2 linked regions of the Canis lupus familiaris genome follow. The protein of the gene in region 1 interacts with the protein of each later gene in a pairwise test. Links are inferred from orthologs where the notes say so. Each region holds a gene or a part of one and is shown on either strand. Other genes may lie near its edges. The genes, in order: CPSF7 and SNRNP25.

Region 1 (3,805 bases):
GGAAGTAGAATCCTTTTTTATTCAGTATCGGAACAGCCCAATAATGCTTTGTGTGCATGTTCTTCTATTGTACTTCAGATAAACTGAGAAACTAAAAGATTGTTTCCAGAAGTATGTGATGGTATGTAGATCTAGGAATGAATTTTGTAGTGAGTTCCCTCTCTAGTCTCACCTTAGAATCTGCAGTTCTTGAACAAAGAAAGCTATTAGAGCTTCCTGTCCTGAGTTGCATTAGAGGAAGTGCTCTGTTTCTTCAGGGAACTAGAAAAGTTACTTAACATAGGTTCTTCCTTTATTTTTTTAAAAGCAATGTCATGAATGAGCTGTAGTTTCCCTAAAACACTTTGAACTTCTTTCTGTCATTTTGGCAGCATCATCTTTAGCACTGTTAGGGTGTTCTAGAATGTTATCTGAAAAAATACTTTCTGATCCTTAACATAAAAAAGAGCTCTCTGAAATAACTGACATTGCAAATCTGAAACATTAAGGTCTCCTGGTGGTTTTCGTGGTTTTAAGATTCGAGGTATATAGTGTTAACTTGACTCCTATAACAAAATACCAAAAACTGAGTGGCTTATAAACAACAGCAGATTTCTCACGGTTCTGGAGATGATTAGAAGGCTGAAGTCAGATTGGCTTCTGGTGAGGGCCCTTTTCTAGGTTGCAGAATGCCAGTTTGTATCCTCATGGGATGCAGAGCAGAGCATGCAGTCAGTCACTCTCTTGGCTCTTATATGGGCACTAATCCTGTTCAGTAGGGTTCCATCCTTAAAGCCTGGTCTAATTGTAATTTCTTCCCAAAGACCCCACCTCCTGATACAGCACAGTGGAGAGTAGGGTTTCAACATCTGCATTTTGGGGGGGGACAAACATTTATTCCATAACAATAATAAATGTGGAAACATAACACATGATAAAAGTATATTTTGCATTGTGTTTCGGAGTACATGTTCATGTTGTAAATGCTTACTGTGACATAGGTTATGATGTGGGTGCCTGTCCTGTTTTCTGACCCTTAATATTTTGAGAGAACTTCACTGTTTTTGTGGTATCATTAAACATCTCTGGCATTGCTCCCAGAAATCTCTTATAAAAGTGTCACAATCATGTATTGGATTTACATTGTCACCTAAAAAATATTAAGGGAAAATCTCCCAGAGTTATTCCTTTCCTTTCCTTTCCTTTCTTTTAAAAATGTTTCTTTGGAACGCCTAGGTGGCTCAGCAGCATTTGCCTTTGGCTTAGGGCATGATCCTGGGGTTCCAGGATCGAGTCTCCTATCGGGCTCCTTGCATGGAGCCTGCTTCTCCCTCTGGCTATGTCTCTGCCTCTCTCTATGTCTCTCATGAATAAATAAATTAAAATCTTTATAAATAACAAAAATAAAAATGTTTCTTCGATGGATACTTCATAGAAAGATAGGATTGCATACTATGAGTTTTAGAGCTTCTCTGAATCATTAGTGTAAATATAAAAGTGTAAACCAGTAATTTCAGTTATTTCTTGCATTCTGGGTTCCCACTTGAATATGCCTTTCCCTTTTATTTTTAAATGAATATACTCTTTACTCTTTTTCTTATTAAATAGAGTAAGAAGATTTGTGTAACTCGTGATTTTGGAAATAGTACAAGTTGTGGAAAATAAGTTTTTCATTACTGTATCTTAGATGTGGTCTTTAGAAGCTAACCTCATTGACAATAGTAGCAGGTGCATCTTTATGTGTTCTTAGTTTGCTTTTGTAATCATCATGTACCTTTTGATTCTCACAGTTGGCTGAAGCTGGAAGCATTGCAGACTTCTAAGAGGGTCTTGAGAGAAAAAGCTACAGAAGCATAATTCAGTGAAGTGGTTTTACGTGAAAAAGTATTCTTACCAGGAAATTATTCTTACTAGCTTCCTAGGGTACGACAGGAAAGTTTTGTACATTTTACGAAATATTTGAGTGTGGATTCTAAGTAAACGGGAATGATATAGAATGAACCCATTGGGAGGTCTGCAAACCCACCTTTGCCAACCCTTCATCTCTTAGGACCCAGAGTTCAACAATACAGATCAGATTGACCTGTATGATGACGTGTTGACAGCCACTTCACAGCCCTCAGATGACAGAAGCAGCAGCACTGAGCCACCTCCTCCTGTACGCCAAGAGCCATCTCCCAAGCCCAATAACAAGAGCCCTGCGATCCTGTACACGTACAGCGGCCTCCGCAATAGGCGAGCTGCTGTATACGTGGGCAGCTTCTCCTGGGTGAGCATGGGGAACCAAAAAGCTTCCTGGGTAGGCTGGAGGGAGAGTGCTGGGAGGTGATGGCATTTTCAAAAACCACTGTTGCACTGTTTTGTGCTCTGATGGGGTTGGATTTCTTTTTCCTGGGATCAGGTTGGATTGATCTCTGAAAGAGAACTATCCTGAGGACGTACTGGTGCCGAAGAAAGCAATGATTAAGTGGGTAGTTGCTTTTTCTGCCATCTTGTTAATGCCCCTGACCCTGGGGCTTTATGTCTAGCAGGGTCATCTGTGGGATGAGATTTCAGAGTGAACAGCTTGAACTCTTGGTGGGGTCATTCATTGGTTCTTTGATAACGATTGGTGACAGGATCAAAGACCTTGATAGTTCTAGTACACTCAGGGTAGGTGGTGATTCTTATGCAAAAATTCTTGTGTGATAGACATGTTGTGGGGCTGGTAGAGGGAGGGTCCAAATTAGGAAATGCATACTGAGGGGGACGTTCCTGACATTGGTTAAACTGTAGCCTGTCAGGTCTGTAATTAAAAGCTGCTAGTAATCATTGTTTGAACTGATGACCAGCCAGCCCAAATGGCAGTCAAAGTTAAAATAGGTTTTAATTTTCTTAATCTCAAGAGATGGGGTTTGGGGAATGGTGGGAGGTTTTGGAATGCTGGATGGGTGAGGATAATAAAAGCCTGCAATAATTGAAATGTTGGTGGGCTCTTGGGTTTCTGTGGGAGGTCATGATTGTGACTAGAATCCTAGGTTTGGGGAAAGGGTTTGGGACATTCTAGGTGGGGAGGGGGTGTAGCTCTTGACATTTCTTCCTTTTCCATCTTGCCGGCCCCAGTGGACCACAGACCAGCAGCTGATCCAGGTTATTCGCTCTATAGGAGTCTATGATGTGGTGGAGTTGAAATTTGCTGAGAATCGAGCAAATGGCCAGTCCAAAGGGTGAGGTCTGGATTTGAGAAGCCCCTTTTAGTTTGTCATCATTAGGATAAAGATCTACACTGTATTTTGGCCCTGGATTTTAATCCCTCTGACCCCTGGCCCAGGTTATTGCCTTGGTTTTGACAGACTGCCTTAGAATGGGGACCTTGCTGCAATGTAACAATGTCCATCCGTTGAGGGGCAAAAAGAGCTGATTTCTGATCCAAATAAATAGGACAATTATAGACTGACGCCTTTTTATTGATGGTAGTTTTGTGTATGTTATTAGCAAGATATCTTTTATTTTACCAGCTTTCACTAAAAGTGGAAGAGTTTCTTTGTTCTTTTGATTGGCTAATAGATCTCACTCATTTTTAATTTTTCTTCTTCAAGGTATGCTGAGGTGGTGGTAGCCTCTGAAAACTCTGTCCACAAATTGTTGGAACTCTTGCCAGGAAAGGTTCTTAATGGAGAAAAAGTGGACGTGAGGCCGGCCACCCGGCAGAACCTGTCACAGTTTGAGGCACAGGCTCGGAAACGTGAGTGCGTCCGAGTCCCAAGAGGGGGTACGTGGAGACCATCTGTATGAAGGGGGGCAAATTTGTGGGTTTGTTTTCTGTGGTGTGGGCTCTGCCTACAAT
Region 2 (4,461 bases), on another chromosome or scaffold:
CTCTCATGAATACATAAATAAAATATTTTTTAGAGATAATTAATTTTAAAAAAGATCCACAACTGAACAAATGGACCATATACTCTTCCTTAGGCTCCGACTTTCATTACTGCCATCGGTTGCTCCCCGCACAGCCGCCACTTGAGGACCACGCTAGAGGCCAAGTGCTGCGGGGCTCCCTTCACGCTCTCACAACGGAGGGAGGCCACCAAGGTCATGCGATGTTAAGAGGCTGTGGCTTTGAGACTAACCCACACCTGTACGTCTCTGGGGTTTATGCCAATATTGCCTGTGTAAGAAATAAATCACTAAAGAAGAAAATACACACGCTATTTTTAGGAGCTTCCTTCCTCAAAGGCAGCGCGGCCTCAGCTCTCACCTGCGGTGGAGTCCACGTTCTCCCAGGCCGCCGCGCCGCCGAGCACATCGTCCACTTCTTTCAGCTTCGGGTACTTCCGGTTGGTGACCTGGCGAAAGGCGGCAGGTGTTCAGGCCGCGGGTAGGGGCGCGGTGCTGACCCGGCCGCCGACTGCCCTCCTCCCCGCGGGCTGCACGATCCTGGGCAGCCGCGTCTCTACACCCGCGGCGCAGGGCTCGGCCCGGGTCCAGGGGCTCCAGCGTCGGGCCGGCCCAAGAGGCGGATGCAGCCGGGACCCCCCACCCCACCCCGTCCACGCTCGGCCCGGGCCCTCCGCGCAGGCCCCCGGCTCCGTCCCGGGCGTCGCGGCGGCGGCCCCAACTCCCGCGGGCAGCTCGGGGCGGGCGGTGCGCCGCGGCTCCGTCCAGGGCCCGGGTTGGGGCCGCAGCACCGACCCCAGGCACGCAAGTCCCGTAGAGGCGTGTCCGCAGGTGACCCGAGTCCGCCAGAGCCACGCTGCTCGGCACGACCCAAACACGGCGAGGCTGCGGGCGGGGCGGGGAGGGCAGCGGGAGCACGTGCAAAGGCCCGGCGGCCGTGTCGGTGCGCGGCGCGGGCTGCTCCCCGGGGGCTGGCGGCGTCGGCCCGGACCCGCAGTCAGCCGCGCCAGCGCACAGGGCGGGCCTGATCCGGCCACGGCTCCGACGAGGCCGCCCGGGCCGCCGCCGGGGACGCCGCCACGGGAGCCGGGTGAGGCCAGGCCGCTCCCGATACGGCGGGGGGCGGGGGCGGGGCCGCTGGAGCACCCCGGCGGGGCGGGCGTCGGCTGCTGGGCGGGGGGCGGCGGGTGATCACCTTGCGCGTGATGTTGTGCACGTAGGGGCAGGTGTTGCAGGCGAAGCGGTGGCAGCGCTGTCCCTCCTCCACGATCAGCCCGTTCCCGCAGCCCGGACAGAAGAGCAGCATGGCTGCCCCGCGCGCTCCCGGCAGCCCCTGCGGCCGCGGGGCGCCGGCGTCGGGCCCGTCGCGAGCTCCCATTGGCCCGGGCCGCCGCCGCCCCAATGGCCGGGCCGGGTTGGCGCTCCCAGCAGCCCCTGCGGCAGGCCGCCTCGAGCCTCCCATCGGTCCCCGTGGCAGCCCCGCCCCTCGCGGCCGGAAGCGGCGGCGGCGCGGTCGGAGCGCGGGGCTGGGCGGGCGCCCTGGAGCCGGCGGAGGCCGAGGCCGAGGCGGAGGCGGCGGCGGCGCGGCCCGAGGCGCCCGAGGCCGAGGAGGATGAAGAGGAGGCGCTGCCGCACTCCGAGGCGGTGGACGTGTTCCAGGAGGGGCTCGCCATGGTGGTGCAGGACCCGCTGCTCTGCGACCTCCCGATCCAGGTGCGCGGCGGGACCTCGGTGCCTGACCTCCCCCTGTGGGCGCCAGAGGTGACGATGCGGCGGGCCTCGATTCTCCCGTGTCCTTTAAGGACCTCACTGACCCGAGCACGAGCGGGGGCAGCAGGGGACAGGGACAGGCGGACGGTCGTCCGGTCCCAAGGCGGACCCCGACGGCGCCCCGGGCGCCCCGGGCGCGGCTGCGCTGCAGGTGCAGGTTCTAAGGTCGTTTCCGTAGTTGAGGCTCAAGTGGGGAGAACGGCTCCACCCCGGGACTCCGCATCGAGATTCGCGCCCCGCCCGAGGACGTTCACTCCTGGGTTGGGCGCCCCGGTCACCCTCGCACACCGGCCTCCCCTCCCCCCCCCGCCCGGTGTCGCCCTGGATCCCGGACTGACCGCGCCTCCTCCTTCCCAGCCCCAGAGCCCAGATCTGGCGCTCACCCTCTCCTGTTTCAGCGCTCCTCTTTTCCTGAGCTTTAATGCACTTTGCACATTAAACACTTTTAAAATGTAGGTGCAACCGGGAAACCCTAGCATAGAAGTAAGAAATCTTGTCTCTCGTCTTTCGTAAGATACGGCACTGCTTTTCCGATGCTATCCGCTTGTCTTGTCTTGTGGTTTGGGATAGCAAAGGCAGCCAAGGCTCCCACCTCCACCATTGGTCTTTCTGCAGGTTACTTTGGAAGAAGTCAATTCCCAGATAGCACTAGAATATGGCCAAGCGATGACAGTCCGCGTGTGCAAGATGGATGGAGAGATAATGCGTAAGTGCTCGCCCTCTCCCTGCGGACCCTGCAGTCCAAGCTGTCACGCAGACAAGACGCTGCCATGGCTGCTCAGGGGAAACTCAAGAGCCATGTACGTCGAAGGGCATCGGGGCAACCACAAGCCTACCCCACCTGAATTTGAGCCTCCGTCCAAAACAGTCTGGACAGAGCTTCTGGTTCCTTTCCTGCCGTCCTAGGCTGTGGCTGTGGATCCTAACATGGCTCTTCTCCCGCAGCTGTGGTTGTGGTGCAGAACGCCACAGTCCTGGACCTGAAGAAGGCCATTCAGAGATACGTGCAGCTCAGGCAGGAGCGTGAAGGGGGCATTCAGCACATCAGCTGGTAAGTGGAGCCACTGTTGCATGTGTGCCACAGAGCACCGAGGAGTTCCCTGTCCTGAGCGTCCCGGCGCGGTGGGTGCCACGGTGCCTGGGAGTCCTGCCTCAGTTCTCTTTCATCTACATCACCTCACCCAGGCAACTGGGCTTCTTAAATGGGGGCACCTTGGAGCATTTCCAGCGTAAGTGGTCTCCTTGGTTACAGACGGTGCAGCTGCCAGCGGCCCTACCCCATCTTCCCCTGGGTGGTCTCCTCACTCCTGCAGCATGGGTCGTCTCTGTCTCCGTGCTGTAGCCTATTTCATTAGGAAGGTGTGTTTGGCCCCCAGCCACCCCACACGGCTCTTTCAGAGCGGTGCCTCTTTCGAGCTACCTCGGGCCTGGTGTGTACAGGGTACAGGACAAGCCAAGAAGAGGCTGCCTGCCCTGGGCCCCCCAGAGCTGAGCATCCCGAGCCCATCTCACACACAGCTGCTGCGTCCCAGCTGCCCAATCACCCTGCTTGTGGTTTACCCAGATCCTCATCTGGATTTTGCAGGTCCTATGTGTGGAGGACCTACTACCTGACCTCTGCAGGAGAGAAGCTCACAGAGGACAGGAAGAAGCTTCGAGAGTAAGTTCACACCACATTTTGAGCTGCAGAGAGGCACCTGGTCTGTTGCCCTTTAGTACCCAGGCTCTGCCAGAAGACTGGGGCCTCTTCCGAGGGAGGAGGAGTCTTAAATCAATCACTGGAGAATTTGCAAGACCAAGAGAGTCCCTGGCTCAACCAACACCCTCCTGCAGGGAGGTTCCTGAGGGCTCTCCCTACTGGAATGGGAGGCATGGGGGCAGTGTGAGTACTGCTCACCAGTGGTAGAGCGGGGCTTCCTAGAGCCAGAGGAGGGCAGTGTGTGGGAAGGTGAGAGGCTGCCTGCTGGCACGACCTAGGTCCGTGAGACGATGGCCACTGCCACTCCTCACCTTCCCAGACACAAGCTGTTCCTACCTTTTTTTTTTTTTTTTTTAATACCCTCCCAAGTCTCAGGTGAGGCTCCACACATACCTTCTGCAAATCACACACTAGAGCTCTTCTTCTTTTCTAGTTACGGTATCCGGAACCGGGATGAGGTGTCCTTCATCAAAAAGCTGAGGCAGAAATGAACCTCCAGAAAGACAATTAGGTGCTGGTGGCCTGCACCCAGCTGGAACAGAGCTAAGCCCTAGGTCCAAACATCCTAATCACATGGCAGATGGACCTGGCCCTGTATACAAAATAAATCGTTTGCTTCTTAGTTTGAAAAGTCAAAAAGCCACAGTTCCTGGAGCAGGAGGGACCGCTGCTGCCCAGGCACAGAGGGGAGGCAAGGGCAGAGGATGGTGCAGGTGAGTCCTAAGGTCCAGAATGCTTCCACTTGAGCCCTGTGGCCAAATCATCCCCTCGCGATAAAACCTTTTTACTGTGATTTCTACAGCAAGGGGAAATAAAAGCAGATGGCCGGCTTTCTGTGTGTGCTTCTGCAGAAACGGGGGCCGTGCACCCACCAGCATGTGGCTGAGGTCTCCAGCCGTGGCTCACAGGGTTCACCTATAGTGACACACTTCACCCTTTGGCTCCTGGAAAGGGAGGTGGCCTGGGGCAGAACT

What was found.
Region 2: the proteins of CPSF7 (region 1) and SNRNP25 interact in binary tests that used the Homo sapiens proteins (3 or more experiments, as listed by UniProt). The two-hybrid records come from large-scale screens. The link is inferred for Canis lupus familiaris from reciprocal best matches to the Homo sapiens genes CPSF7 and SNRNP25.

Annotation. Positions count from the first base shown.
Region 1 is NC_049239.1:55,601,116-55,604,920, forward strand, and holds part of CPSF7 (cleavage and polyadenylation specificity factor subunit 7), read left to right. Parts: intron 1-2,029; coding exon 2,030-2,248; intron 2,249-3,081; coding exon 3,082-3,185; intron 3,186-3,419; exon of another isoform or gene 3,420-3,557; coding exon 3,558-3,730; exon of another isoform or gene 3,731-3,805.
Region 2 is NC_049227.1:40,884,625-40,889,085, reverse strand, and holds SNRNP25 (U11/U12 small nuclear ribonucleoprotein 25 kDa protein), read left to right. Parts: upstream 1-1,522; 5' UTR 1,523-1,689; coding exon 1,690-1,731; intron 1,732-2,403; coding exon 2,404-2,494; coding exon of another isoform or gene 2,495-2,588; intron 2,589-2,694; coding exon of another isoform or gene 2,695-2,733; coding exon 2,734-2,839; intron 2,840-3,373; coding exon 3,374-3,448; intron 3,449-3,920; coding exon 3,921-3,978; 3' UTR 3,979-4,317; downstream 4,318-4,461. Other genes in the region: POLR3K (DNA-directed RNA polymerase III subunit RPC10), read right to left, coding at 380-467, 1,214-1,324.